Diceros bicornis minor: one gene and its partners. The protein of the gene in region 4 purifies or fractionates together with the protein of the main gene of each other region. This does not show direct contact. Links are inferred from orthologs where the notes say so. Each region holds a gene or a part of one and is shown on either strand. Other genes may lie near its edges.

Region 1 (7,482 bases), on a different chromosome or scaffold from region 4:
AATCTCTGTGTGCCTTGGTTTCTTCATCCGTAAAAGTGAGGATAAGATAACTTCTTCATAGTATTGTCATGAAGACTAAATATTTGATGTAAAGTGCTCAGACCAGTGCCTGGCACAATAAATGTTAGCTATATTGTTATTACATGTATCCTTATCAGAGCTTAGATACCACTATTCTGTCTTCTCAGAGTCTCACTTCCGCACAGTTGGTTGACTCCACTGCAACCCCTTCTCCAGATCATTCAAAAATACCTTAAAAGCTAGGTCCAATATATGTCATGACTTATCCATGCTAAGAAGTATCCATACACTCCAAATCTGTTCTCTCAATAAGCCAGCATTACCTTAATCCCATTTCTCCAATTAAAATTTCAGTTTGGTTAAAAAAAAAGACATCAAAAAAGCCCAAGTTAAAAAAATTAAACAGCACTCTCTCGTAACAGAAGTTAAGCAGTGAGAGAAGCGTGAGAATTATAAGTAACTTTTAAGGATCAATAGTTTTTGATGGTTATCCTAAGAAACCATGTTTTACTTAAAAGACAAACACCACATTGGGCACTTGATGTGGTCAGAAAGGCAAAAAATATCTTGTGTTTTCATACCTTTTTCAGAACCAGGGATTTACAACTAGAAGAAAACTGTGGTGACAAGTTATTATCTATTGACAATAGGTCAAAAGGCCAAAGAGAACTGTGCTGGTGCTTTTAAACATCATTTAATCCTCACAACTCACCATCCCACTTTACAGATGAGGTTACTGAGGTTCAGAGTTTCCTAAGAGTAAGTAACTAGTTAATGGTCAGAATTTCAAAACCCAAGCTGACATCTTAAAGTTCAAAGGTGTGTTATTCTGTTTTCATTCTTTTAATCTGGACTGATTAAAGATTTGAGGAAATAAAAATTAGACTACCGAATCGATCTTTACCATTTAGTCTGACATTCCTAAATCTGCATGTATTTGCTTTCAGATTCAAACACCTGGTGTTTGCTATATTCAAGGCAATAAGAAAAATACCAAGATAAAAGGCAATCCTTGCCCTCAAAGAGCTTGCCAGAAGAACACAATGAACACTAATGTTTCAAACAATCTGTGTTACAGAACAGCAAAACCCTGAGTTGAAAATGTAAGCAGTTTATCTAAATATTCTTATTCTTGACCACTGCGTGCTTTGTTTATTGTGTTTAAAAGTAAAGACCCTTTACCAATGTTGGGGGCTAGAGAACAAAGAGAGGGAAACGATATTTTCATAACCATCTGTCCATTATATCAACCTTGCCAAAGAGTTCAACTACTCATTCAGTGTTGAGAGTTGTGAATTTTTACTTGCTTAATAAAATTTAGGTATCATAACAAATACTTATTAAAACGTTTTAACTAAAAGTGCGAGGAAAACAGGCGGCTTTACGGAGAAATCAGAGCGACTAGGTGATTGGCCAGTGCTGAGCAGGAAAGGAGCGCTAGCCCACAGACAGAGAACAAAGACTACTATTCCTAATCTATTTCACTCCCGAAGCCAAAAGAAAAAAACTAAAAACACCAAGCCTTTCAGGTAGAAGCATCGTGCAACTTCTTTCAATTTCTGTCCACCTCACCGGAAATACAAATGCAAACCACCCTTTACCTCCCTCTAACCATCCGATTTCACTGTCTCTAGGGTTATTTTTCCCCTTCTTGAATGATGAACACACGTTGTAAAATAAAGTGATCCAAACTTCCGGCTCTGTAGCAATTATCATTTTATCCGCCTAAGTCGGAAATCTGATTCGGAAAACATCAAGCTCCAATTCCCACAGGTTGCTCCTGCCTCCAAGCAACTTAAGCGTCAATTACCGCTAAGTCCGACCCGCCCCTGCGACCGCGGCGCGCTGGACAGGGCACTTCAGCCTCACCTCGCCTCACCTCGGCTTTCCCACCCACCGTCCCTCCTCACTCGGGCTGTCTTCACCTCCTACACCCTCACTCGGGGCGCCTTCCGCCACCCGAGATCAAAAAAGCTTTCCCTTTGGGGGGAAGGGGGTGATAAAGGCTCATTTCTGGAAGCATCTGAGCACCAGGAGCGCGGGGCAGCTGCGAGAGGTGGGAGGGGGAAGGGTCGGCAAGGGGGCGGGGAGCTCAGCACTATCCATCCAGATCTTTGAGATCGCCAAGTCCCCTTCGGGCCTCCTCTGCAGCCTAGAAACTCCCCCTCGCACCCTGGGCCGGGACGGGAATGTGGAATCCAGGCTCCCCAGAATGAGGATGAGAGAAGAAGGGGAGTTCACGCCTGCCTTGGTCCCGAGGGGGAGGGATGCGAGCGGAACAAAGCCGCTGCCACCCGTGCCCCCGGGTGGCCTGGCGACCCAGAGGGACCCGGGAGGCCGGCTCACCTGCGGTCAGCAACTGCATGGCGTGAGTGAAGGACGGATCCAGCGAGTCCTTCTCGGCCATAAGTTCGGGGAGGTACTTGTTCTCCGGCTCCATCTTGACCGAGGCAGTGGCTGAGGGGGGCAGCAGCGGGGTCGGCGCCGGACCTCCCACTGTCGCGTCGGGACCCGTGGCCGAGGGCGGCAGCAGCGGTGGCGGCTGCGTGGCGGGCGAGGCCCGGGCGCCCCCCCGGGACCCCCCTCCGCCTCCCCGGGACCGGTGAGGCAGCGGCGGCTGCCGAGACGGCGCCTGACGCACTGAGGGGTGGGCACCGGAGGGGTCCATGGAGCCGCTGCGGCCCGAGGACCGGCTCATGCGCGCGGCGGGGTCGTCCCGGCGCTGCATTGGGGAGGATGTGCGATCGAGGGATCGAGGAAGCGACGCGGCAGCGGCGGAGGCCCGAGCGGCGGTTGGCGGGGGTGGGAGAGCGGGAGCGACGGCGACCGAAGGCGACCCGACCGACCCAGCGAAAGAGAGCACCGGAAATGAGGCGGCGCGCGTGCGCAGCCAGCCGCCGGCACCGCCCTTGGGTCTCTCCGCGGAGAACAAAGTCCCCGGTCGGGCCACAGCGCTTGCGCACCGCCGCGGAGCCCGAAGAAGTCGCCTCCCCGCTCCCCTTTTTCCTCCGAGCCCGCCAGGCCAGAGCTCTGTGCGCGTGCGCGGGTGGCCGCGGGCTTCGTTCGTTTTCTTTTCCACGTGACTCGGCGCTAGCGGGACACGTGTCTCCTCCCCCTTCTGGCCGAGTGCGCGGAGGGGCGGGGGCTGTGGAATGTCTTTGTCTGCGCGCGAGCCCGCAGAGTGTGGGGGGGGAGACCTGTTACTCGCGGGGCCGCGCCCCCTCCAACGGCTGAGCCGCCGAGCCGGGCTGTGCTCAGTGGGGGGATGGGGGGATGGGGGGTGGGGGGGTCGGGCGAGGGGGGCGGTCTCTAAAGTATGGAAATGAAAGGAGACCCGCCTGGGAAGGAGAGAAAATTGAGGCCGTCTAGGCAGGAGGAGAGGAACAGACAGGGCGCAGGGGAGACTAGGAGTGAAAAGGGGACGACTAAGGGAGAGTCTGACGCAGGGATGAGGGGTGGAGATGGGGAAAGGAAGCTTGGAGGAGCAAGTGAGGAAGGACGGGTCAGTGGGAAGACCGAAGGCTATTGCAGGACTTGAACTAAGAGGTAAGGTTCAGGTAGGAGACCTGAAATCTAGCAAAGGGCACCAGACCAAAGCAGGGAACCCAAGAAGTCGTATCCTATGGTTTCCAGTATAAAAGGCTCTAAAACATTTGCCATTGTTGGTCAGAGAAGTCTTAAAAGATGAAGCATTTTAGCTCTTTACGTATAGTACTGCTTTCTGCTGACTTGTGTTTCTTCCGCAAAAAAGTGGGGTAGAGACCAGGTCCTTAATCCCTGATGGTTGCATCATTAGGGTGGCTCTTTATACGGATGTGAGTGCTAATCCTGCCTTTGTTGGGCCTTCACAATGGATCGTTCCAGACTTGCTCAAAGAGACAGACCCTTACTACTGCTCTAAAGGCCAAGGTATATAGCGGACAGTCTCCCACAGCATTCTCCTCATCCCTCGAGTGCTATATGCAAAAGGAGCTTACGTCTCTACTGTCCCATAAAGGCTCAAGAGAGCTGGTGCCTTCTCTAACCCTTCCTTCCCTCCACAGATTTTTGCTTCCCCCATTCAAAGCACTCACTCCCATCCCTTTTCCTTCTGGATCAGTTCCTCTAATAAGCCCAGGCTTTTCAAAAGCATTTCTGGAAATTGTCCTCTGGGTGCCTGGAAACTGTTGATATTTGGATCTGAAACTTAGAAGCCTTCAACTAGAGAACATTAAGGCCTGGCTACCTTCTTGGGGACGGGGGAGAGAAATCATCCACAGAAATGAGAACAAAACACAAGTATCTCCATCAGTTATCACACATGTATTATACATATGTATTTCCAGTGTGTGGTGCAGTACTGTAGTTTAAGATCACATAGGTAGTTTATAGTCAAGTAGGAGAAAAAAAAAAGAATGTTTTTGAATAATTGGAATGAAAAATGTAATGTGACAAATGCCAAAAGATAAGTGAATATTAAGTGCGATTGCAGCTCAAAGCGGAAGATAGATTTCGGCCAGGGGAGAATGAGTTCCAGCAGAAGGGAAGTGTGAATAAATGAGCAGAGACGTGGGTAAGGAATGGGAGTCGTAATCCAGTTGTGGACTGTGAAGAAATAGGTGGGTGGATAGAGCAAATGCATGGAGGAGGGGAAAGGGGGCAAGGAGGATTTATAGCTCCGTTGCAACTCATTTCTGCTGCTATCCTTGAAAATCCTGCTTGGGTGGTGGTGTTACAAATGGCTGAAGTGTCCTTGCTCTGTAATGAGATGCCCAGATGGAGGTACCTTGAGCTGAGGCTAATAAAACTTTGATGAAGAAGTGTCTGAGAAGGAGCTGGGTAGTGGTATCTGTGGGTATCTAGACTAAAATCAGCAGTCTTTCCAGATGGCTGTCAAACCTTTTGCTTAGTTTCTCTGAGGGTGGGGTCAAGGGGAGCTTTGAGCTCTTCTTCTTGGTGAGATACACAAAAGGTAATCTCTGAGGCAGGTGATGGGTTGCTGAGGCTGCGATGTATTTACCAAGTCAGTAATGCAGCAGCTTTCCATTGTGGGGGCCCTTCCCGGGGGCAGGGAAGAGTAATTCCCACCTTGAAAGTGTAGAGTTCATTTTGTGTTGACCATGGTATGCTGCTCCAGGTTCACCTGAAGGTATTAACAGCATGGCCTTGTGAAATGACTCTGACTTTGGAGTGAGGCAGACAAATTCAAATTCATCAGTGCCTTGTCCTTGCTGTATGTCATTGGGAAAACCACAACCTGAGCCTTTATAGTGGACGTACTGACATCTACCTTGCAGAATTGTTGTGAACATTGACAAAGACCAGTGTAAACCTCCTCACAATTGGGCTTATAAGCAGAAGTAATCATTATTATTGTGCCATTTAGTTATGCCTAATGAAGATTTTTGGTTGCTTCATGTTGGGTGTGGATCTGCAAGGCCTGCTCTCTAATCTGTCTCATTTTCACTGACTATAGCTTGACTTTGTTTTGGAGGGGGGAGGTTCCGAAAAGACTAAGTTTCTTCTACCCTATTTCCTCTCATAGTTTAGTTACTATGGTGTAGGATGCAAGAGCAATTGAGAGCATAGTGATTTAGATGGAGTGAGGTCCGAAGCTGGCTCTTAGACCTCTTACCTGCTGAGTGATTGAGCACATTGCTTAACCGTGCTCAGCCTCTGCTTCCTCCTCCTTGATAAAACAGAAGTCATAACAATACCTAGCTCAGGGCTGTTAGGATTAAAAGAGATAGTGTCTGTAAAGCACTCAGCACAGAGGCTGGCAGTTAGTGGGTACTTGATAAACGATAGCGGCCATTGTTATTCTTGCTACACACAGATTTATTGAGTACCCTATTGCAGACTTGCACTTTCATGTGAGTCTCTAACTGACGGGCTGAGAATACTCAAAATTTGCCTGTTGCTGCTGGACCTGTGTGATCTCCACCAGTGGAGGATCTGCAGGCCCTGCCTATGTCTCCTGCTTTGCAGCCAGTTCCTGGGAGAAGGGCTCCAGCCCTGGACAGGAGTTTCTCTTCCAAGAGTGTAGTTCATCTGTTCAATCTTAAACACTTACTTGGTGCCAAACATGTGGAGGATAGAGAAGGAGACAGGGAGACCAAGATTAAACATTTTACAATTTTTTCTAAGGTTTTTTTTTTGTTGCAAAACCATATACTTCTAGGGGCTGGCTGGGTGGCATAGTGGTTAAGTTCTCGAGCTCTACTTTGGCGGTGCAGGGTTTGTGGGTTCGGATCCTGGGCGCAGACTGACGCACCGCTTATCGAGCCATGGTGTGGCGGCGTCCCATATAAAGTAGAGGAAGATGGCTAATCTTCCTCACACAGACACGGACACACACACACACACACACACACACACACACAATATATATATATATATATATATACACTTCTAGTTTTAAGAAAAATCCAACCATAAGATAGGCTTGTAAAGTGAAAAGTAAAATTCCTCCCCAAACCTGCCCGTTCACCTGACTGCCCTTCTCCAAAGATACCCACTATTCAGTGGTTGCTTGTGTAGCTTTCCAGACATTTTAATACATCTATATGCAAGTCTATATTTTTTGCTTTAAGCACAAACTGGAGTGTTCTATACGAACAGTTTTTAAATGAAATATTCTGGTTGCCTTTCCTTGTCACTGTATAGAAACCTACTTCATTTTTAATGGTTGCATAATATTCCATTGAGTACTTCTTAACCAGTTCCCTTCTGAAAGAAATGTAGGTCGATTCCAGCTTTTTAGTATTGCAAATCATACTGCAATGAGCATCACTGTAGAGAATATCTTTGTGCACTAATATCAATATATCTATAGGATAATTCCTAGAAGTAGCACAAAAAGACTGTGCCAAGCAGCAGGGTAGACAGCATCCTCTTCTCCCACCTCCTCAATCAATTTTGGGTACCGTCTTCCCATCTTTTTAGTCTTCACCAGTGTGGTAGATGAAATGGCATGAGAGTCAACATTGAATATTAGAGTCTCTGCTTTGAAGGAGCTCACTGTTTAGTGAAGGAGACAAATATGTAAACCTAGAGTTATGATGTAGTATGAAAAGTGTTATAATAGGGGACTATACAGAGAGCTGTGGGAATGCACAGGAAGGAGTGACAGAGCAACTGCGGACAGGAATTAGGGAAGTTAGATCTTTGGGAAGTTGCTAGGTGGAGTGGGGGCAGGGCATTTAAATGTTAGGAGTTCAGCAAAGCTTGGTCCCATGCCTATACTTCCTCCTCCGTGTTCATGGCTCTAGAATTTAGATCTCTAGCCCAAACTCCCGAGTTCCAAATCCAGATAGCCAACTGTATCCCTGACATCCCCATTTGGATGTCTCAGAGGCCCCTCAAACTCAACGTGTCCCCAGTAGAACCCAAACTGCAGCCACTAGCAGTGCTGTGTCAGGGCCCAGATGACTTAATGAAACTCGGGGCTTGGGAGAAGCTCCCCTTTCTGGACCCAGGCCT
Region 2 (7,956 bases), on a different chromosome or scaffold from region 4:
AGGCACTGAGGATACAGCAGTGAACAAAAGCTTTACATACCTTACAATCTACTTCAATATCTGCCAAATGCTTACTATGTACCTAGTGAGGGGTTAGGCCCGGCTATAAGACGGATAAAAATGTACTTTAAAATTCTTCATTGTGTCTCTTCTAGCCAAGGCATCTCCCATTTCACCACAATTCCTGTACCACAGCTTTGTTTTTTTTTTTTTGTGAGGAGATCAGCCCTGTGCTAACATCTGCCAATCCGCCTTTTTTTTTTTTTTTTTTTTTTGCTGAGGAAGACTGGCTCTGGGCTAACATCCATGCCCATCTACCTCCACTTTACATGGGACGCCGCCACAGCATGGCTTGCCAAGCAGTGCGTCAGTGCGCGCCCGGGATCCAAACCAGCGAACCCTGGGCCGCCTCAGTGCAGCGCGCGCACTTAACTGCTTGCGCCACCGGGCCGGCCCCCAACAGCTTTGTTAACAACGGTTTGTATGAGGAAGTAGCAAGCACTGTGCTATGTGCTTAACAAACATTATCTCATTTAATCTTCTCATTTACCCTATGAAACTGGTAAGTGTTACTATCTCCATTTAACGGATGAAGAAATCAAGCCTCAGAGAGATAAAGTAACTTGTCCAAGATCTCACAGCTTCTAGGTGGAATGAGTAAGAAATATGAAACAAGGCCTCTCTAATTCCAAAATCATCATCATTCTCAAAGATGATATATTACTTCACTATTCCCTTGGATTATTTCATGGGACCTCAAAATACAAATCTGATGAGGAGGCAATGTTCAACGTTTCTACAGTTAAGAAGAGAAATGTGTTCCTTATTTCATGACTGTGGGAATTTTTTTTTTTTAAAGATTTTATTTTTTTATTTTTTCCCCCCAAAGCCCCAGTAGATAGTTGTATGTCATAGTTGCACAGCCTTCTAGTTGCTGTATGTGGGATGCAGCCTCAGCATGGCCGGAGAAGTGGTGCGTCAGTGCGCGCCCGGGATCCAAACCCGGGCCGCCAGCAGCGGAGCGCGTGCACTTAACCGCTAAGCCACAGGGCCGGCCCTGACTGTGGGAATTAAACGTATCATTAAATCGTGGTGCTGAGAAGGAATAACAATCAGGGCTGATGAGGACATCAGAGGGCCTGGGCTGATGTCTGCATCTCTTCTACAACATCACCACCAAGTGGTCACACGGTTTATACTTAAGATAGTTCCCCAGTGGTCAACTAACCCCTCACCGTAGCTTTATTCATTCATTCGACAACTAGTTATGGAGCACTGACCATGTGCCAGGCAGAGCTGGGAGCAGGGGATGAGAGGAATAGGACAGATGTCTTGATGAGTGCAGCTTGCATCCTAGTCCCCACGTAGGGAACACACAACAAACAAATAAATGAACTTTTTACAGTGCTTTGAGGAAAACAGAACTGTGTTGGGATCAAGAGTGAATGAATTCTGAGTGATACTTGATTACAGAAGGCCTAAGAAAGTGACTTTTGAGCCAAGATCTGAAATGACCAGGGTCACTCAAGGGACAGGGCATTCTAACCCAAGAGAAGAGATCCTACAAAGCTAGAAGGTAGAAACATGCTTTGTGAATTCAGTATATGGAAGAGCCAGATCATGTCAGGTTATGCAGGTGAGAGTCAGAGTTTGGATTTTTTCCTAAGTGTAATGAGATGCCACTGGAGGGTTTTAGGCAGTGACAGGATCTGATTTTTGTCTGTAAAATGGGGATTATCATAACCACCTTGAAGAATTTTTGTGAGGATGAGAGATCATGTAAATAAACTGCTCAACATGTTACAGGCACTCAAGGAGTGAAAACTGTTAATTCAGTGAGTCTTCACGGAGCATCTCCCAAGCACTCCCAAGCAGAGGCTCTACAGATGGCTAAGCCACAGTCTCTGCCTTCAAGTCCACCTGGAGAGTCAAGATATTTACAAGTACCCATTTCCAGATCATCTTATTTCCTTAATTTCCGGTCAATTCCCTACTATGTATTCTATTCTCTAATAATGTACAGTATTTGGCAATAAGAACTTAAGCTCTGGAGTTAAGAATTGCCCTGGTTTTCAATTTTAGCTCCACCACTTACTAGCTGTTTAACTGTTTCCTTAAATTTACCTCAAAGGAATGCTGTGACACTTAAATATGTTAATACGTGTAAAGGGCTTAAACAGTGCTTGCCCATGGCATTTCATAAGTGTCACCTCAATGAGCCCTCCCTGACCACTCTCTTTATAATTTTATTTATTTATTTTTCCCCCAAAGCCCCAGTAGATAGTTGTATGTCATAGTTGCACATCCTTCTAGTTGCTGTATGTGGGACGCGGCCTCAGCATGGCCGGAGAAGCGGTGCATCGGTGCACGCCCGGGATCGGAACCCGGGCCGCCAGCAGCCGCCAGTAGCGGAGCGCTAGCACTTAACCGCTAAGCCATGGAGCCGGCCCTATGATTACTATTATTGTTACTTGAGTCCAAAAGTAGCACTGGACACACACTGTAAAAAAGCTAGATTTTCACCAAATCATAGCTGACGAATACCGCAGTAAAAAAAAAAAATCCTTTTAAACAACCATTACAAAGTGTAAAAACTACTACTAATAATTTCTATGGCTGCAACTTGGACCGTTCGAATGTTTTCATATACTTGAAAACTTAATTAACTCTGTGGTTATTCTGCTTGCCATAGAACAGACCTAGGAAGTCTCCTTTCTTTAAGCAGATTAATTCTAATGATACTAACTCTTGGCATCCATCTCTTCACCCAAGGCCATCTGGAGATGGAAGATACCGGTTATCAAAGTCAACATCCCGATTTATAGGAAGGAGGAAAATGAGGAAAAGCTATCCAAAACATCTAATACAGGTGACTTACACGAGCTGAAGCAAGTGCATTCTTCCCTGTATTTTAAATATTAAAGAAACAACGCCCTATACGTAAGTTCAGTATTTTCTCTATAGCGTGCAAAATTCCCTAAAACTATCAGCATCTCCTGGGAGTCTGTTAGAAATGCAAATTGGTAGGCCCCAACCTCAGACCCATTAAATTGGACATTCTGGGGTTGAGGCTCAGGAAGTTGTGTTTAACAAACTCTCCAGGTGAAGTTTGAGGACCACTGCCCTATAGAAACTCAATTAGAGCCCTATAGCCTGGAAATATATATATATAACTAAATGACAGCAGAAAAGCACGTCAGTGGTTTTTCCACTGTTCACAGATTTTCATGTTCCTGCCTTGACACTCCACCCACCCTTCAGCCCAGTTCTTACCAGCTAGATTGTTGTAGCAGTCTGTCTGGGTGGTGTGCAGTATGTTTTCTTGTTCAGGTGTGAGAGCCGGGCCCTGAGGTCCTAGATTAGGAATCGGGGAGGGCAGACTTGGGTCCAAACCCCGCAGCTGAAGCAGAGCTCGATGATACCTACTCACAGCATCTCGGTACTTCCCTTCCCGGTAACGCTGGTTGCCTTCCTCCTTGTACAGCTGAGCCTCCTGCAGGCGCTTCTCCATAACTCTCGGTCGCCCAGTGCTCTTGCGGAATTGAGAAGGGAAAGAGCAACTGAAGCTCTGGGTATGGGAGCCAAGTAACTGATTTTGGTCGCCGATTTAAGAAGGCAAGAAATTATCCTTCTCCAGGAGGTCCCCCCAGGGAAAGAGCTTTGCTTGTTTCTATCACTGCCCCTTCCTCTCCTCTCTGCAGTATTTTTCAATCTCTGGAAGTGCAGGAAACTAATCAGGGAGAGGATGTGGGAATAGTAGAGCCAGAAATTAAGTGATTTCCTAAAGAGGCGATTCCGAAGGTGGCGAGACTCCCCGAAAAAGCAAAGGCCCTACCAACAAATTGTGGCAGGCGTGCGAACGCCGGCAGAACTGGCTTCCCCCTTTCTTTTGGACACACCTCCCTGACCTGGAAGCGCAAAGGAGTAGGCGGGGACAGCTGCTAAAAGATGTCTGGAAGGCTTTCCTCCCTCCCGACTCTTGCACTTCTTCAACAAGCATTTGTTGACGTCTGTGCCAGGAGCTAGGGAACTGAGGTGAACGCGGTCCGAGCACCCCAACCCACCGGCCGAGACTGACGCGACCACAGGGCAGCTCACTTGCAAGTCCACCAAGCCCTGCGGCCAGCCCCTCGCCCTCTGCAAATGCCCAAGCCCGGAAGTCTCTCCCCGCGCTTCGGTTCACGGGCGGGACCACCGAGAGGACCGGGTCCAGTCTCCCGACAGTTTGGTGTCTAAAGTGTCGCACGATTGCGCCACGCCGCCCAATCAGAAGCGGCCCCGGAAAAGTAATCCCGGCAGAAACTACCCCGCCTCTCCAGCCTCCCCTCTGGCCCAACCCGGAAGTAAAAAACAAAACCAGGCAGCTTCGCCAATTGGAAAAATCCAAACGATCACAGATGACCAATCAGAATTGCAGATGACGATTCAAGTTGGCCAATGAGAGAGCTACAAGGGGAGGTCAGGGCGTCTGTTGCTGGGTAGAAGTTGAGGGAAGGCGAGAGGAAAGGAGGGCCAGGGGTTACTGTATTCGTTGGTTTTGGAGAGCCCTTATGTGTGCTAACCAGAAAGACAATTGCTAGTAGGCTTTCATGTTGCAACAGTTTCCCTTCTGGCTTTTTTTTATTCTCAAGAAGCTGCTGCACGTACAGACAGAGACTAGCGAGTAAGCCCTAACACGACAGCGCAATCGGAAGGCAGACAGAAGTCAGGTGGTGACGGGGTGGGAGGGGCGTGTGGCGAGGGAGCTCCGGGCGGCTGCGCAGAGCCCACGGCTGGAAGTACGGACAGACAGGCGCGCACACGCCTCGGTGCTACGAGGCACTTGAGCCGAAGCCAGCCTTTGCCGGCTGCGGCTCCCGTGCGGCTGCGCGGTGACACGACCGGCGGCGATTGGCCCAGGGGGTGAGAGGGGGCGGGCGGTAAAGGGAGGGAAGTCCGCCATCCTCGGCGCGCGCCCGCCCGCGGCAGGGGAACCGAGGGGGCAGGAAGCGAAGCAAGTCCCCGCTGCGTTGTTTTGGACCCCCCGGGCCGAAGGGGTGAAAGGAGGGGGAGGGAGAAACAAACCTACGTAGCGGAGGCTGCGCGCGGCCCTCGCCGCCTGCGTGCGTACGTGCGTGCGCTCGCTCGCGCGGGCTCCGTGCTGGCGCGTGAGGCGGAGGCGGGCGGCGGCGGCGCCTGCGCGGTCGGGCTCGGTCGACGGTTCGCAGGGGAGGAGGCGGCGGGAGGCGGAGGAGGCGGCGGCGGCGATGGAGGTGAAGCGGCTGAAAGTGACCGAGCTGCGGTCGGAGCTGCAGCGGCGGGGCCTGGACTCGCGCGGCCTCAAGGTGGATCTGGCGCAGCGGCTGCAGGAGGCGCTGGACGCCGAGATGCTCGAGGACGAGGCCGGCGGTGGCGGGGCCGGGCCCGGCGGGGCCTGCAAGGCGGAGCCTCGGCCTGTGGCCGCGTCGGGCGGCGGCCCGGGCGGGGACGAGGAGGAGGACGAAGAGGAGGAGGAGGAAGACGAGGAGGCGCTGCTTGAGGACGAGGACGAGGAGCCACCCCCTGCCCAGGCCTCGGGCCAGCCCGAGCAGCCGCCGCCGGAGCCCCCAGAGGCGGCAGCCATGGAGGCCGCGGCCGAGCCTGATGTTTCCGAGCAGCCAGCGGAGGAGGCGACGGCCGGGTCAGGTGGGGTAAACGGTGGCGAAGAGCAGGGCACCGGCAAAGGGGAGGAAGACGAGCCGGAGGAGCGGAGCGGGGAGGAGACGCCGGGATCCGAGGCGCCTGGTGACAAGGCCGCGGAGGAGCAGGGTGAGGAGCTGCCAGCGGAGCCTGGCTCCAGCCTGCCGGGTGCGCCTCTGACCCAGCACCCAGCCCTGCATCGCGGGGTCCGATCCCTTGTTCTCGCTTGCCTGAAAGTGCAAGATTCCCGTCGCCGTTTGGTGGGACTCCCCAGGGGAGGTGGTTTTCATTCTCTACCCACGTTTCGAGGGGGTTTGGCCGCCTCCGGTGGCCCCACTCGCTGCAGGAGGGAGGTTGCTGCCTCACTTGGTTCTTTGGTGGTAGTGGATGGAAGTGAGCGGTTTTGCATGCGAACTGCTCCGTGAGCGACCTGTGGAGCAGCCTCCCGCGGTGCTGGTGATCTTTTCCTAAAGCGAGAATGCGGAGGACTTGGCGGTAATAGGGGGACAGCCAGACCGACTGCTGGAGGCTTCGGCCTTTGCGCTATCTGGCTGTTGATTTTTTCGCCATAAAAATATTAAGCAATAAACTAAGTTCGTCAAAGTTCGCTCCATCGAAAAGCACGTTGCTAGAGCTTGAGCCACGCAGGGTATCTGGAAACCTAACTTTGTTCCTGCTTTAGCAGCAGGGGACAGCCTGTGGTGTGAGGGTGTCGAGTTTAATAGTTAACTAGTGAAGAGAAAGCCTTAATCTAGTGCATTTGGAATAAGTTAACGATTCTTGGGTAGTAGGGGTTTTACCTTGTCTGTGTTTTTATGATTAAATTTTAATCTTCCCACTGAGTCGAAGAGTGAGCATATTTGTAAATTTGCGTTGCTTAGGTAGCCTTTTACATTTCAGGTCCCTGGCTTCCTGAATTGGAATGGTTGAGGTGTTGGTGGGTTCATTGAGTAACCTTCTGGAAGAGAATGTGTAGAGTCGCCTCAGGGAGTTAGTGACCTTTCTCTCTTCCTTTGAAGTGATTGGATGGTTAGAGCTGATCCATAACTATCTGTCAGAGTAGAGAGGAGAACTAGAGCTGCTTCCAAGACTATGAAGTGGGTTGCCTTAGTTCTTATAATACATTTTTTAGGCTTCTGCTTAGTGTCATCATGTAATTGGAACCCCTTCTATGACAGTCGTATGCAACTTGCAGATTGTCTGTCTTATGTCCAGAAACAAAAATCCTATTACATAACCTTTGACTTAACGTGTATCCCAAATAGTAGATAAAAAAGGTTAAGGGATAAAAGACTGCCTTAAAGAAATTACTATTAAACCTTTCTAGTGTTGCAAACCACAAAGGCTTAAGGAAAAATTTGGGGGTTTTTTTCCTCTTGTAAAGAAGGTTGCTAAATATATGACAACACTTTTCTGCCCCAATTAATGTGCATTAAAGATGCAGTATTATTTATGGGTCTCTTGTGACTTAATGGTTTACTTTTGCAACTTTCAGTAGAAATCCATGATAAAACTACAGCTCTGTATCATGCACTTGAGTCCATCTGCTATTTAAGTAAAGCTGTGGATGGCTGTGCATTTTAAAGCTGGAAAGGTAAACTATTGAAAAGAAAAACTGAGGCTTCTGTGTCATGAAGCTGTGGAACAGTGATGGAAAATACATATTAAGTGTCTAGAGCAAATCCAATCTAACAATCAAGAATCAAAATTAAATTAACCTTGAAGTTTTTTAAAGACTTAGGATATATTTTCTTATGTTATATTGGTGGGAAAATCTGCAAGTTTGACCTGATTTAAGCAGATAAATTTAGAATGCAAAAATTGTCCAATTTTTATCTACTCCTTGACTGTAATTAGTCCATAATGTTCCTTTTTTTTTGAAGTAAAATCTCAACCAGTGACAGGAAGATAATTTTTGGAAATAAAATGTTCCATGCATGCAGTAGGAATAACCTGCCTATTCTGATTAGACAGATACGCAGATGCCCTGTTAGTTTCTTTTGGTTCTGAGCTTATTCTACACTCTAGTATGAAAACTGCTGATTTTTTTTCCCTCCTTTTTGTAGGAGATGACCAAGATAGTGAAAAGTCAAAACCAGCAGGCTCAGATGGTGAGCGGCGGGGGGTAAAGAGACAGCGGGATGAGAAGGATGAACATGGCCGAGCTTACTATGAATTCCGAGAGGAGGCTTACCACAGCCGGTGAGGGAAACAGTCCCTTTCATTGAAGGGAGTGTCTGCTCTGATTTTGGTATACCTGATGTTGATTGGAGAGTCTGGAAAGATGGGTGGATTAAA
Region 3 (7,954 bases), on a different chromosome or scaffold from region 4:
TAATTTTAAATAAATTACACATTTCTTAACTGTCCACCTATGGAGCCTGTAACTTGAGAAAAAATTACCTGTAGCATCTACTTTCTGTTAATACTCTGGAATATCACAATGTTTCTAAAGTCTTCCATGTACTGCAGAGGCTAGAAATCTGAAAACTATACTTCCCACTCTCTCTTGCCAGCAAGGTTCAGGTTTAGCATCTGCCCATGAGATGTGCAAGGCACAGCTGAAAAGAAGCATTATGCTCATCTGTATTGAGCTGGCAGAAGGATAAAGGGCATGGAGGATCCCGCACCTGTGTTCTTAGCGGGCCTGGCGTGGAAGAACAGCACCTCAGTCACTGCAGCCTCCACTACACTGGACGCATCTCAGTACACAGCCAACTGAACTGCAGAGGCGGCTAAGAAACACATCTATCTGTGTGCACAGGAAGAAGAAATTCAGATTTGGTGAACAGCTAGCGATCCAGTCTCTGCCACATGCTATGATCCCACTAGACAATCATACACCATACCATAACAGAACGGGAATAGTGGCCCCTCCCTGGTGTCATAAGATGCTGAGACAGAGGTGCTGTGTACAATAAGCCAATGGTGGTACATGTTCCCAACGGTGGTACATGTTCCCAAGTTTGAGTTACTTGATCTTGACTCTAAATTCGGGACATCAACACCCTAGTACAGACCAAACTGCCCCAAACCTAGGTCAATGTGTTTATATGATCTCTTCTCCAGATTAAGATACAAAGAAAATCATATTTGTATGTCTTCCCTTTAGTCTTGAGATCTCAACCTTAAAATGCATAAAGAACACACATACACAAACATTCACATATACAAAAACACATATTCTTCTTAATAGCAGCAATTTGCTGACACTGGGCAATCAAAATCCAAATATAAAACCACCATGGATGATGATCTTTTGCAACACTCTGCAGAACAATTTAGATTCCTGGAGCCACATTGTCCTGAAACACTTTATTACAAAGGAGCGTCTTTCTACTTTACATATGCATAGTCCCACTCAGTAATTTTCCAGGAAAAAGAAAAAAAAAATGCCTCAGAGGTAAATTTTAGTCTCCACCACTTAGCAGAAATACAACTCCCAGAAACTTTAAAATGTCAGGGTCAAAACATTAGGGTTTAGAGAAATCCAGTCACCCTATATAGTGTAGACACATATCTACATGCTAACAGAAGCCTTGAGACCTATTTTCATTATCTTTTTTTAATTTAGAAAAAATGTAGAGATTAAAATTAAAAAATTTTTTCTTAGTATTCATTCATATTTTTTCTTAAGTTCCAAGATTGTGTACTTAAATGGAGTAGAAAAAAATCCACTACTTTAATGAGACTATAGTTTTCAAGGGAAAGTATGTTACGGAAGTCACTCAAGGTCTTTAACACGGATCCTGGAATCCTTTGACCTCACTAACAATTTTTTTTTTCCTTTTCATGAGAAACAGATGGAATTATCAGATAGTGGCAACTGTTCATAGTTAGGATAACACGACGTCTGGTTTGTTAACTAAAGTTCTGTTTTAACTAAATCTGACTATAAGAGCTTCAGTCAACAAGAGTCATCCTCTACAAATTCATTTTCAGTGTAACTAAAACTTCCCAATTTGAGTTCCAAATTTTGTGACAAGAAACTCTACTGAGTTATTTAATAAGTTCTTCCATATTCTTCCTGATATAAGAGAAAAACATTTCCTCCATTTTCCCTCCTTTCCCACCCCCACACAGCCAGATCTTTCAATTCTACAGACCTCTAGGATTACTTTTATCAGCACACCCCCACTCCCCACCCCAAGAGGCAGTACGTCAATTAAGGGTTCCATTTTCCAAGGGCAACACTAAAAAAAAACTCCTCACCCAGGTCTTCATGAATATCAGACCCATGAAAAATTATGCAAGTTGTTTCACAGGGTGAGGGTAAAGAAGACGGAGAACAGGGATTCCCTGAGACTGGGAAAACAGTGGTAGTTTCCAGTGTGTGGCCTTGTGTGGCTCGCCCTTGCTGCATCCAGAGGCGGCTGGACTGGGAGGTGGTGCCTGTAGGTCTGCGAGCAGCAGTCCTGGGTTCTGTGGCCCAGCCACCATCAGTGCAGAGGACATTCGAGGGAGCCATCTTTCAGCCCGCCCAGAGCACAGCACAGGCGGAGCACCGGTGACAGTCACAACGAGCCAGCACTCCCTTTGCTTCCTGGCACTAGGTAACCTAAGAATCCTTGAGGGTCCAATCAAGGCAGGAAAAAAGTCCAAGTCACAACTGACGCTTTTCTTCCCATTAACGTCCTTCTCGTCTTTCCTACTAAATCTCCCCTTCGTGCAGGTTTCTACTACATGGACATTTACTCTGAAGTGTCTGCCTAAAGCAACAGCCTCAAGCAATAATGTACTACTTCCTGCTGAACATGTCAGCAAGAATTAGTCACTTAAACTCGTAACTAAGATTCTATTCAGGATCGACAAACCTGAGGTGAAGAGAAATAACACAACTTATCAGAAAATAGAACACCCCTCTCTCGGCTATTGAGAGGACTGTGTGAAATACGCAACGTCCTTACTCTCCTGCTGCTGCCACAATGAATGACTGCACACTCAGTCTTCACTGGCACAAGTTCACCACCTTCTGTTACCTCTGTCGCAGGGAAGCTGCGACAGAGTTCCTGCCTGGAGCTGGGGGGGGGGGCTCCGCTTCCTCTTTCAGTCTCAGAGGCTGCTGCACTCCGTAGCTGTGGCCCCTTCCTCCACCTTCAGAGCCAGCGACAGCCGAGGCCTCCCATGGCGTCACCGTGAACTCTCTGCGCCTCCCTCTGCCACTCTGAAGGACCCGTCATTACAGCAGCTCACCCAGGTAATCCAGGACATCTCCGCTCCACGACCAGCTGACCAGCAACCTTCACTTCCCTGGCACTGGAACACAGCATCCTCTCAGGCTCCGGGTATCAGCATGCGGGCATCTCTGGGGTCACTGCTCTGCTGACCACAAACATGCACCAGCCAGTCACGACCCAGCGGGTACTAAGTGACAGATAAATGCCCGTCCTCTTCCCCTACGCCCTGACGTGGTCTGCTGGGGCGCCGTAACTAACGCCGCAGGTGCAGGCCGGGTGGCTTCCACAACAGAACTCATTTCTCAGCTCTGCTGGCGGGGCAGTGCAAGCTCAGGGCGCCCGCGCTGCAGCTCCTGGTGGGAGCCCCGTCCTGGCTCATAGACCGCCTGTCTGTCCTCACACGGCCTTTCTTCTGAGGAGAGCCAGCGCGCTCTCGGGGTCTTTCTTACCAGGACACCAATCCGACCAGATCAGGGCCCCACTTGACGACCAACTTGCCTACCTTCTCAGAGGCCCACCTCCAACCCAGCACCCTGGGGGCCAGGGCTTCAGCGCAGGAACTGTGGGGGACACGTCCAGGCCACAGCACTGGCTCACTAACGACCCACACTGCCTCCACACACCCACCGTCTCACCTACCGAACAGGTCACACACTTGTCCCACCAGTGTGCCCAATGGGCACGTCTAATGGGACACGGGTACCAACGGGCACAACGAATGGGCGCATTTACCGCAATGCTCATTCCGATGGTCTTAATACTCGCCTCCAACTCCACAAAGGTGTAACGTCTGCCCTTTCTGTGCTGCTAACTCGTCCGAGCGGCCGCTCTCTCGTGTCTCCTAAGCTCCCAGTATCAACTCACTCCCCACGCACTAACTAGACACCCCGCCAACCCTCCCCACCACAACCCCCTCAGCCCACGCCCCTCGACTCCGGGGGCGCTACCTGCTCACTGACCCCCTCCTCTCTCCACGTCCCACCTCACAGCCGCAGCTCCCACTCTCCGACCCCAGGCCCCCCCACGCCCCGTGTGGCCTCCCCACCTCACCGCCCGTTCACCCGCCTGTCTACACCCGCTTCCGCCTCCTGCACCGCTCTGTCCTCGAAGCAGCCACGGCCCCCCGGCCCCCCGAGTAACCGCCGTCCTCTACGGGCGTGTCGGGTCCTGGCCGGCCAGGCCCCGTCCCGCCTCGGTCTCGGGGAGTCCCCTCACTCTCCGCACCCTCTGCCCCTCCTCCCGATGACCTCTGCCCTCCCCGAGCTCACTGCCGACCCCGCCGTCCCTCAGGACGCCCTCAGCCCACCCAGGTAACCTGTCTGGGGGGAGAGGCTCCCCGACCCTCCCGGGCTCGCTCTCGGGGCTGCAGGGCAGACGACGCACGGGCCTCGTGCGTGGGTCTCAGGGAAACCCACGGGGGGGCGCGGAGCCGCTGCCCGCGGCGGCGGGAGGAGACTCGGCCACCAGCGGCGCCCGCGGGGACGCGGTCCCGGTCTGCAGGGCCGGCCCACCCCGCGGCTCCGCGCGGGGGCACTGGGCACAGCCGCGTCCTCGGGGCTCCGCTCGGAACCCCGCCACAGAGGGCGCCGGGCCCGTGCGCCCCTCTCCGCCGCCCCTCCTCGGGACGGGTCGCAGGGAGCCGCGCCCGCGTCCTGGTCACCGTCCCGCCGGGCGTCCCGGCGCCTCCACGGCCGAGCGGGAGGGCGGCGCCGGTCCGCCTCCCTCACACTCCGCGGCGCCGCGCCGCGCACGGGGAGCGGCGGCCACTCTCGCGGCGGCGCCGCCACAGAAGTCGCGTCTCCGGGACGCACGCGCTCCGCCGAGCCGGCCGGCAGCGAGCTCGATTTCACCACAAAAGCCCGACGGAAGCCCACCCACTTCCTCACACGCCGGGCGCGGGCCAGGCCCACCCGGCGCGGACGCACGACGCACGCACGGCGGCGGCCCGCGCGGCGCGTCACACAGCCTCGCGCGGGCCGCCCTTCGACCCCGCGGCCGGCGCCGTGACGTCACCGGAAGCGCCGACCAGGGGCGCTCAACGGCCCGCCTCGCGCCGGCGCCGGAAGCGAGGCGGAAGCGGCCTGCACCCGCTTCCGGGCCGGTCGCCATTTCCAGCGGCGGCCGGGGCTCGCGGGCTGGGTCCGCCGGGACGATGAGCTACGACTGCCCCCAGGGCTGGGGCCGCGATGGCGGGCCCCGCAGCTCCGGCGGCGGCCGCGGGGGGAGCCGAGGCCCCGGCGGCGGCGGCGGCGGCGGCCGGGGCGGGCGAGGCCGACACCCCGGGCACCTGAAGGGCCGCGAGATCGGGTTGTGGTACGCGCGGAAGCAGGGCCAGAAGAACCGGGACGCCGAGAGGCAGGAGGTGACGGCGGTTGGCCGGGCGGGCGGCCCCCTCCCCGCGGCCGCGGGGCGGAGGTCTGTGCGGGACGGCGGCTGTCGGGGCTCGCCCGCGGTGCGCCGAGCGGGGCCGCCGCCTCGTGCGGAAGGGCAGTCCTGCTCTCGCCCTCACTGTTGAAACAGCCAGACCGGGGTTTCTGCTTGACGTCGGGCTGGGGTTTTTGCTGTTGGCAGCCGCTCCCTGAGAAGGCAGCGGGGCCCCGGGGGTGGGAGGACTGTGGAGAGGGTGCGTCTTAGGCTCTTCTCCCGGGGCTGGACGCTGTCCGCCTGGCTGGCGTCTCGGGGATGTGCAGTAAAAGGAACGTGCAGGCTCCCGAGTGGCCTGTCCTAGTGAGAAGTCGTGGTTAACAGAAGCCCTCCTCATGCAGGCCTTGGGCCGTGTTCCTGGAGACTGCTGCCCAAGCGCCCTTCGTGCCGCATGGAGTGTAACCGCCGCTCGGGCTTCTGTGTTGAAGTCGTTCTTTCTTTTAGTCCTGTCATTTTCATTGAAGTGTTTTTGGGCATTATCTGTCTATCTTAGCAACTCTTTAAAAAGAAAGCGTATTTCTATGATAGCCCAAAATTCATCTGTTCGGTGAGCAGGCTGGTTCTTGACAAAGTCCAGGGAAGCGGCGGTAAGACGTCGTGAGGCTGGAAGAATCGTCGAGCGCTTACTGTAGAGGGACCTGCCCAGTACCTTCTATGCACTCTCAGTCACGTCTTGTTTACCCGCGTGTCGCGCGAGGTTTGATGCATGTTGCTACGGGGATCTAAGGAAATAATGACGTTCAAGGAGCTTACAGACTAATTGGGAAAAGATGAAAAGATAATTCAGAACTTGTTCGTTATTTTGAGTTGAAGCCGGTTGTGTGATGGGTTATCGTGAATGGATGTCTTGATTTCCGCCCCTCCCCAAACCCTCTCCATTTTAGTAAATGTCACTACCATTTATCCACTTGCCCAGGGCAAAATGGGTTTATCTTTGATTCTCCTCTTTCATTTCAGCAAATCTGTCTGCTCTGCCTCCCTAATACATCCAAAATCCAACCCTTCCTCCCTACAGCAGTTACCGTAGACGCGGCCGCTGCCTTGTTTCTGTTTGTCCACTGTAACTGGTCTTCTAGCTTCCCCTCCTACTCCCCATGGGTCTGTCCTTTGTGGAGCCACTCTGGTGGTCTTTGAAACAAAAAAAATTAGATCATCTCATTCTCTAGCTCTCAACTTGAGACTGGAAGCCAGGTCACTTCTCAGTCGAATGCATTTGAGTTGCATCCTAGCCTGTTTTCCAGGAATATGGTTATCCAGCTTCAATGACCTTTCTGAGCCATGTCCTCAGTCTGCTGTAATTATAGCTTTTGTAAACAAACTTTTATTTTTGCTTTTTGTTACAGTTCTCGTACTGTTCTACTCTAAAATGTGTCTTTCTATCTTCTCTACCTAAATATGAGTGTTTTTCAATAATTGGCCCACCCTCCCTTTCTTTTACCACCTTCAGCTGTATGTGATCGCTTCCCACTCAGAATTCCCATAGCTTTTACTTTGTAAGTAATCCCTGTGTTTACAAAGTGAATGCATTCTATGATGCACTTTTTCTTTCAATAGATATTTACTAAGGGTCTAATATATTTGAGGACGGTATCTTAGGCACTACCTTACAGAGACTGTGGTGTGTTAGGGGCTGTGGAATACAGTGTTAAACATTACAAAGGAGAATGTGGGCTATCCTCTTAACTCAAACGAGGACAATTCTCGATTTTTCAGAGGAAATAACCCTTAAGCTGAAATTTGAAAGATGGCAAAGTGTGTCTGGTTTTGAGATTTGGGGACTTGGAAAGGGATTTTCAGGCAGAGGCAGCAGCGTGTGCCACAAGCTAGAGGTGAAAAAGACCATGTTCAGGGAACTGAAGGAGCAAGAGCACGGCTGTGGAGTGTGGTGAGAAGAGGGCAGGTCAGTGGCTCTCACACTTGTGGGCCACTTCCCACAAAAAGGAATATATTTTAATTTGCAGCCCAGTAGATGCATGTGTGTAGCTGAACAAGTTTTGTAAAATGATAATTACCTGTACTTTACTGTGGGTTGTTGTTGTTGTTTGTACCTTTCTGCTCTCTTTTGTATTAATATTGGTCATAATCCGTTAATGTAATTTTACACACAGCAATTTGAAAAGCCCTGGGCTAGGAAAGTAAGCAGGGCCTTGAAATTCATTGACTTTTCCCTAAGAACTCCTGCAAGCCATACAGCATTTGAAGCAAAAAATTAAATGACTGGATTTGTGTTTAAATTTACTCTGTAGGGAATGGATTGAAAAGAGGCAATCCTGAGACAGGGAGACCAGTGAAGGAGCCCTTGCAGTAATTAAGATGAGGAATGATGGCTTGAATTAGGACATTGGCAGTGGAGATGGAGGGAAGTGGACAGATTAAAGTGATTGAGGAGATAGACTCAAAATGGTTTTATCTGGTGGGAAGGGGAAAGCAAGTGTTAATGAATGACACTTTTATGACTATATGTGGAACAGCCTTGATGGAGGAAGGGGATGGACTCAGCTTAAGGACACTGTGAGTTTGATATTGTTATAAGGCATAGAAGAGGGGATTTCTAGGAGGTAGAAGTCCATGTGGATCTGATGCCTAGAGAAATCTAGGCTGCAGGTGAACTTGTGACAGTTTGTGGGCCTGTGGACAGTAGTTGGAGTGTGGAAGTGAGCAGTGAGAGGAGGAGTGGGTACAGGCCTC
Region 4 (7,515 bases):
GTTCAGGGACATTGCAAACTCAGGCTGGATACATCAACTAAGTGCCTAAGGTCCCAAAGGAATTAAAATACTAACTAAATCCTGCTAGAAGCTAATCTAATTCCAATTCAAGACACCACTATCCACTTACCCATCTATTTGGGAGTGAGGCGGCCCCAGCTTAAAGCTAGGAGGAGGTAGCATTAGCAAGCCCATTAAAAAAGAATACCATGCAGCGTACCACGTTAATGCTTTAAGAGCACCAAATCCCCACATGAGCATCAACTCCAAGAGGCTAATCTAGCTACTGCACCAAGTACTTGGATCACTGGATACCTACCACTACCACCGCCAAAGCCGCCTCCGCCTCCTCCGTTGTTATAGCTGTCATAGCTGCCACTCCCGCCATAGCCACTGCCCTGGTTTCCATAACCCTGTCCACCACTTCCATAGCCTCTGCTTCCTCCAGAGTAACCAGGGCCGCCTCCTCCATAACCACCTACAAGAATACAATTCTTCTCAATAAGACAAAAGTATTCAACAATCAAAACCTGTGCAAGCGTAATGGCTAAAAGCCTGCTCACAGCATGCTGTTATGGTCAGAGCTGAGCTTGTCATGCACTAAAATTTTAGTCTCTACTAACCTATTCTAAAGGTTGTCAAAATATTTTCCACCTGTGTATTCCTTGAGAAAACTTACCATCATTACCAAATCCATTATAGCCATCCCCACTGCCACCATATCCACCACCACCACGGCTGCCGCCAAAGCCACCTGGAATAAAGCAGTGTTTTAAACCAGGTTTGACGTTTACGGATTGCATACAAATCACACTCTTCTAAGTCTTAAGTTTTAGGAAGCAGTTCCTGTACTGCAAAAATGATTTCCATACCAAGAATTTTAACTTCTTGTTACGAAGCCAGAACTACATTTGGATAAAATCTAACTTTGAAAACGTGGGCTAGTAGTTACATCTACCACAGGTTGCAAAAAGGACAAGTTACCTGGGGGTAATTAAATCACAAGCTTACTGTTAATTCTTAGTAGTAAACCATTAACAATACATACCTCGACCACTGAAGTTTCCTCCACGACCAAAGTTGTCATTCCCACCAAAACCACCTCCACGACCACCACCAAAGTTTCCAGAACCACTTCGACCTTGAGAGAGAAGTTTTAAGTGTTAAACCACGCAGGTTGGAATTATTCAAAGTGATCTTTAAGGTTTAATTAAGCAAAAAACCCACCTCTTTGGCTGGATGAAGCACTAGCCATCTCCTGCTTAGATAGGGCTTTCCGTACTTCACAGTTGTGGCCATTCACAGTATGGTATTTCTGAACTAAAAAATGTCAAAGATAAAGAGAACATGATCTCACCGTTTGGAATACAACATGGACTTCAGAACCCTTAGCAAGTGCCCATCGTCTGATACTTACTGACAATCTTGTCTACAGAGTCATGGTCATCAAAAGTTACAAAAGCAAAGCCTCTCTTCTTGCCACTGCCTCTGTCAGTCATGATTTCAATCACTTCAATTTTCCCATACTGTTCAAAATAATCTCTTAGGTGATGTTCTTCAGTGTCTTCTTTAATGCCACCAACAAATATCTTTTTCACAGTTAAGTGGGCACCAGGTCTTTGAGAATCCTAACAGGAAAAACCCCATTAAGTTGTTTATTTTGGCGAAATCTAGCCCAAAATCAAGAATGTTAAAAACCCTGTAACACCCACAAATGTGACGTCTACCTAGTGGCACACTTCTAAATGACTAATGGAAGGAAAAAAATATCACTTACTTCTCTTGAGACTGCCCTCTTTGGTTCCACAACTCTCCCATCCACCTTGTGCGGCCTTGCGTTCATGGCTGCATCCACCTCCTCCACAGTGGCGTACGTGACAAAGCCAAAGCCTCTGGAGCGCTTGGTGTTGGGATCTCGCATTACCTGAGATGTCAATTGATTTAATACACAGTAAGACTCCAAAACCTACAGTCATTTCTAGCTTGAGTAAGGTTAATAGGAGGCTCTATGCAAAGCTCTTCAGTTTCCCACTACCCACCTCGGGTAAATCCATTGAAAAGGAGCTTTTAAACAATTTAACAAAGCCCCACCTTCCCTTGCCAAGCTGTTTCTAACTCGAATCCTGTCAACAATCTTCACAAGCAGTCGGACAGGAACCATAGCAAGATAAGCCAAGAAAATCAACTGGTTCTATCGCCTTTTGCCTCTTCCAAGTCTTACCACACAGTCCGTGAGCGTTCCCCATTGCTCAAAATGGCTCCTGAGACTCTCGTCGGTTGTTTCAAAGCTCAAACCTCCGATGAAGAGCTTCCGCAGCTGTTCGGGCTCTTTAGGAGACTAGGAGCAGGGGAAAAAAGCGTTAACTGGGCTATAGTGCGAAACACCTTCCACTTGAGAGAAGCATAACTAGACAGCAACCTACGAAGCACTTATTGTTCCCTGGGGCCGCAGCAGGCCACGTGCTTCCCCCCATCAGGGGAGGCGTTATGTTCGGGGCTGGGAGGGCTGGGGAGCCGCGAGCGCATGCGTCGCCACTCTCCTTCCGACGCACGCGCAACAAAAGGACCCGGCGGGCTTGGTACGTGCCAGTACGGGACTGTAGCTGCTCCTCAAGAAACTCGCCCACCGAGACAAGGGGAAAAAATAGATCGAATGTGCCGAAGAGTTTTGCCAGGAAGAACGAGCCCGGCGTGGTAGCTAAGGGTTGCAAGACGACGGCCTCATGGCGACGACGAGGACAAAATGGCGACCTGAACTTTGGGAGGAGTAGGCCCTGGCAGCGATCGAAGAACTACCGAATGGGCTGGTACAAGCAGCCAAACCAGGCCGCGTCCTACCGAACTCAGGGGAGGGCGAGGAAGAGACTGAAGTTGGAGAGAGCGTCTTACTCACCTCTGACTTAGACATGACTACAGTGGGACGGGAGACCTTAACGATGCTTCCTCAGCGGCGTCCACAAGCAGAAAGGAGTAACCTACTAAACGTATCTGCCAGCCTACCTTCGGCCTCGCTTTTTTATCCCGCCTCCTCGGTGTCGGCATTGGTAGACTCCGCCCCTGCGTAGCTCTGATTGGTTATTTGAAACAGCTTCCCCCTACTATTGGTCTGTGGTGCCGCACTGCTGTATAACGTCATCCGTTTGGGCGTTCTACGCAGTCTCCACCCCTTGGGGGCCATTGGTTCCCGACTAATATTATTCTTAACCAGACTGATTGGCTAGCCAATCAATCATTCATATTTTAATACACGTAAGCTATGTAAATAACTTTAATCCTCCACGCCCCGGATATTATAGTCAACCCACGGAGCAATGTATGATTAATACTATGTATTGGAAAAGTAGTTAGCATGTGATAATTTTTTTTCTTTTGCAAAGATCGCCTGCTGAGCGCATGTGTAGTAAAATGGCGAGTTTACGCAGGCGCATTAAGAAGTTCCCCCTGGCGCTTGGAACACGTGAAATGGCGGGCGGGAGACAGCGGCGGACCTACAGCGCCTGCGTAGTGGCGGGAGTTGTGCTCCGTTTTGCGCAGGCGTAATGGGCGGAGAAAGGGTCCGGTTCCAGGATTGGTCGCGCAGGCGCAGGGAAGGATCCGTTTTGGCGGGCGGTTGGCGTTGCGCAGAAGGCGGCGGCAGCAGTGGCTTGTGGTCCGGCCTCACCATAGAGGAACGGGGAAGACGTTAGCGTGAGTGATCGGTCTCCATCCCGGGTAAGTGGCTGACAGCCTTGCCTACCCATACGAGGTCTTGAACCGACTCCAGTTGGGCCCGTTATTGTGTGAAATGAATGGACTGTAGGGTGGGGGCCAGTGAAAGGGGAGCGGTGGGTCCGGCCAGCCAATGGAAGAAGAGGGGCGGGATGTTTTAGCCGCATAGGTTCTGTGGAGCTTTGCATCCGAGGCGTTTGACTGGCGAGTGTATAGACCAATTGGGTCTGCCTGTAGCCGCCGACTGCGCGGTCCTTGGGCCATCGGAATGTGGGAGGCGGGTTTTCCCCTCCTGAGCAGCGTGTCTCCGAGCCAATGAGCACGCAGCGCGCGGTAGGTTGGGCTCCTCCGAGAGGCCGCCGTGTGACTCCAATGGGGAACGCGGGAGTCGGGCGGGTAAATGGATGGACCGGTTCTGGAGCCAGTAGGCGGTCAGCCTCCGGAAGGCGCTCGCGCAGGTCGTCCAATGAGCGCTCCAGAAGAGGGAGGTCTTAGATTTGGGGTAGTGGGGAGGGGATTCAATGCCCGTGATGGCGCGTCGGGGTAGGTATTTCATCCACAATGACTTCTCTCTAACAAAGCCCATGGGCCTCCATCCCCAAACCTCCCTGGTCCGGAAGCTCTAAGTTTGTTCCCGTGTGTCTCGATTTCGGCATTTTTTTCCCCACATCGGTGCATCCCGCCGTCCACCACTTCATAGGTTTTAGGGAGAGCAAGGGAGGTTTTTTGACTTTAGGAACTCGCTTCTCTAGGAAGACTGACTTGAAATGTTAAAATGAAGAGGATAAATCTTTATGTATTCTCGTGGAAAGGCGCCCGAAGAAATTCTGCATCATAATAATGCATATTTCCACGGACAAATCGATGTTTGTAAATCCGTAGAAAAAGTTTTGGAAAGCTACATGCCAGAGTGTGTTACCTCTAGGCATAAAATGGGATCGAGGCAGGTGGGATCTATAATGCTTAAATCCTCGCAGGGATAATACTTTGAGACTAAAGTTAAGTTAAAAGGTCAGTTTTTGTGTTTCCAGTCATAATCACGTACTTCTCGTCACCCATTTTCTCCTTACACCTCGAAAGAGAGCTGTTTTTCCCTTTAAGAACTAAGGTGATTCTCGGTATAAAAATATAAATTTAAAAAGGTAACTTTTTTTTGAGTGCTTAGTACCTGCTAGGCATCATGCTCAGCACTTTACAAGCATTTTCCTTGTCCCCACTGCCTTTATCTTAGCCTGTGAGGAACTTTTCCCCCCTTATGTCTCTTTCTTTGCATCGTTAAAGATTCTCTAAGCCCTTCTTTCTGCTGCTCCTTTGAGGATGTCTGAATTTGGATAAGAAGGAAGTTGCTTAAGGAGAGTGATGACATTTAGGGTGTTGGGAACAGGAGGTCTCATTTATCACCTGGATTATTTATTGCCTTTTGATTGTATTTCCTTCAGTGTTTATTTTACATGCAGTCCATCTCCTGTTGGTAATGTCCATTCTGCTTATTCCAAGATGTTTTCGTAAAATATAAAAATTTTTATTACATATTGGCTGTATTAGAGTCTGTACTGCTCCATTGTTCGTTGATTTATTTAGGGTCAAAGGAGAAAAATTTAAATACTGTAATAAGTTCAACTACATATGGAGCACACTTATGCTTAGAGTTTTCTGACATTGTACAAAAGAAAGATGATCTTAGTTGAGCTTGTAATGAACAGAGGAGAGATTTCCACGTTCTCTGGCACTTGCAAAGGACCTATTTCATATTTGGTTATAAACTATTTGTAGGTATGCTAATAATGCAGCTGCTTAGCTTATAAGAACTGAAGAGACACAAGTTAAGGCTATTTGTCCCTTAGGTTTGAAAGGAATACAATCTTGATGTACGACAAGGTTTATCAACCTCATCACTATTGATGTCTTGAGCTGGATAAATGCATCTCACCTCTCCACACCCTGATTTATGACAATCAGAATGTCTTCAGACATTGCCAGATGTCCTGGAGTGGGTGCGTGGGGTGTGTGCAAAATCTCCCCCAGTTGAAAACCATTGATCTAAAATGACAGATACTAGAGTTGGTTATCTCATCAAAATCTTTTATTTTACTAATTAGAAATTAGAGGAAGAAGATGGTTGAAGTGTTTATGTTTTTAGGAATTGGCCTATGGTTAATGGATCACTAAATCCTAATGATTATCTCTTCGGCTATACAGTGATAATTGTTTCATTGGATAAAAGGAAAATTTCATCAAGATTTTTACCATTCCTTGCAATTTAAACATGATTGCATCTTGTGTTCATTTGGCTTCCTAAAATAATGAATGGCAAATATGTTTTTGAAGAAGGTAGACTTTGCTTCTGATGCTTCTTACGTTTTCACCTGATTTAAGTCTCTTTCCTTTACTGGAATTCGTTTGGATCAGTGTCTCAAACTTTTTTGACCTTGACCCTCAGCAAGAAATACACATTTTATACTGAACCTGTACTCACATTGAAACAATGTATACACTATACAAATATGTATATAAATATAAATGTGCAAAGCACTCTGGTATTTCCTCATCTATAGGACACTATTTCATTTTCTTAAAAACATAGATCAGTTTCTGCTGAAATGATTTCACAGCTGTGTACAGACCCACAGTTTGGGGAAAAAAGAAAAACAAGCAATCTGAAGAATAGGTAACCAAATCATGCCATCTTAGATGTCTCTGTGAGTCAATTCTTCTCAGCTCTAGCCCCAGCAACTTGGATTTATAAACAAATTAATCAATGACCCCTTTTTGATATTTTTAATGTATACTTTAATTTGAAAGATTTCAGGATTTGAACATAGACTTCTTGGTTTACTGTGCTGTACAAGTAAAGATTGTTTTATTGTGAATTCTCTTGCAGTGTCATAGCTAATAGGTCTGATGAACATTTCTCCCTGGTGGGGAAATTTTAGTGGGTGATTTTTCATTGATATTCTGAGATTATCACATTGAAAATCCTAACTTTAGACTTTTATTTCTTGCCTTTGAAGACAGGTTTGGTTGTTAACTTGTACCACTCCGTTAACAAGACAAAATGTTGAGTCCTTGTTAGAAAAATTAAATTTTGAGCACTTGTGCTTATAACTTAGAGGCATAAGATTGCAACCAAACCAAAAAAGGACATTGTTCACTAAAAGGGAAAATAATACATCTTCACTGGTCTGTCTGAAAACCAATAAATAGGAAACTTTTATCTGGGTTGTAGGTGACCAGGATGATGATTGGGGAAAGAGAAAGAAAAAACATACCTCTGAAGTGACTGGATTTTTATATGTCTAGGAAAGTTCTGGTGATTTTCAGAGCCTTTGACAGTAGCTCTAGAAAAGAGAGGAAGGTACCCAGGGTACATAGGTTTCTGATGAAGACGAGTAGTTTTGCTTTTTATTGAGGTATTTATTTAACCACATAGTATGATTTACATATCTTATTGGAATAGCCCATTTAACAACCCCTGGTAAAGCATTTCTTTCTTTTTTTTGTTCTTTTACTTGGTCTATTTTTATTTCCATTCACCTTACATGAAATTGGGCCTAAAGCTCTGTGCTGTGGATATTGATTTTAAATGTAATAAATTACAGTGCAAGCTATCACTGATAACTCACTCAGTATGGCTGCCCTTAACACATTGTTATTCATGAACTTCGACTCTGGGCAGTTATCTTTTTTCCCTGACATAAACCTTGATTTTCCTTCTCTCCTTATGGAGGATGGCTTTAGCTGATCATTGTACTAATGGGAAGGAGTCCAGGTCATCCTGAGAAGAGCTGGCTTGTGCGGAGTCCAAGA

Evidence for each region.
Region 1: the proteins of HNRNPA1 (region 4) and KHDRBS1 purify together in Homo sapiens (co-immunoprecipitation; 4 studies listed by BioGRID and IntAct, with this or other methods). This does not show direct contact. The link is inferred for Diceros bicornis minor from reciprocal best matches to the Homo sapiens genes HNRNPA1 and KHDRBS1.
Region 2: the proteins of HNRNPA1 (region 4) and HNRNPUL2 purify together in Homo sapiens (affinity purification with mass spectrometry; 3 studies listed by BioGRID and IntAct, with this or other methods). This does not show direct contact. The link is inferred for Diceros bicornis minor from reciprocal best matches to the Homo sapiens genes HNRNPA1 and HNRNPUL2.
Region 3: the proteins of HNRNPA1 (region 4) and DHX36 purify together in Homo sapiens (affinity purification with mass spectrometry; 3 studies listed by BioGRID and IntAct, with this or other methods). This does not show direct contact. The link is inferred for Diceros bicornis minor from reciprocal best matches to the Homo sapiens genes HNRNPA1 and DHX36.

The regions. Positions count from the first base shown.
Region 1 is NC_080752.1:46,852,054-46,859,535, reverse strand, and holds the start of KHDRBS1 (KH domain-containing, RNA-binding, signal transduction-associated protein 1), read right to left. Parts: upstream 3,008-7,482; 5' UTR 2,750-3,007; coding exon 2,368-2,749; intron 1-2,367. UniProt on the Homo sapiens protein: Recruited and tyrosine phosphorylated by several receptor systems, for example the T-cell, leptin and insulin receptors. Once phosphorylated, functions as an adapter protein in signal transduction cascades by binding to SH2 and SH3 domain-containing proteins.
Region 2 is NC_080770.1:10,398,210-10,406,165, forward strand, and holds the start of HNRNPUL2 (heterogeneous nuclear ribonucleoprotein U-like protein 2), read left to right. Parts: upstream 1-4,949; 5' UTR 4,950-5,246; coding exon 5,247-5,787; intron 5,788-7,724; coding exon 7,725-7,860; intron 7,861-7,956. Other genes in the region: TTC9C (tetratricopeptide repeat protein 9C), read right to left, coding at 3,274-3,511.
Region 3 is NC_080741.1:1,290,917-1,298,870, forward strand, and holds the start of DHX36 (ATP-dependent DNA/RNA helicase DHX36), read left to right. Parts: upstream 1-4,954; 5' UTR 4,955-4,994; coding exon 4,995-5,204; intron 5,205-7,954.
Region 4 is NC_080756.1:16,116,097-16,123,611, forward strand, and holds the start of HNRNPA1 (heterogeneous nuclear ribonucleoprotein A1), read right to left. Parts: upstream 3,001-7,515; 5' UTR 2,909-3,000; coding exon 2,894-2,908; intron 2,339-2,893; coding exon 2,222-2,338; intron 1,925-2,221; coding exon 1,778-1,924; intron 1,629-1,777; coding exon 1,418-1,628; intron 1,321-1,417; coding exon 1,228-1,320; intron 1,142-1,227; coding exon 1,049-1,141; intron 755-1,048; coding exon 680-754; intron 479-679; coding exon 320-478; intron 1-319. UniProt on the Homo sapiens protein: Involved in the packaging of pre-mRNA into hnRNP particles, transport of poly(A) mRNA from the nucleus to the cytoplasm and modulation of splice site selection.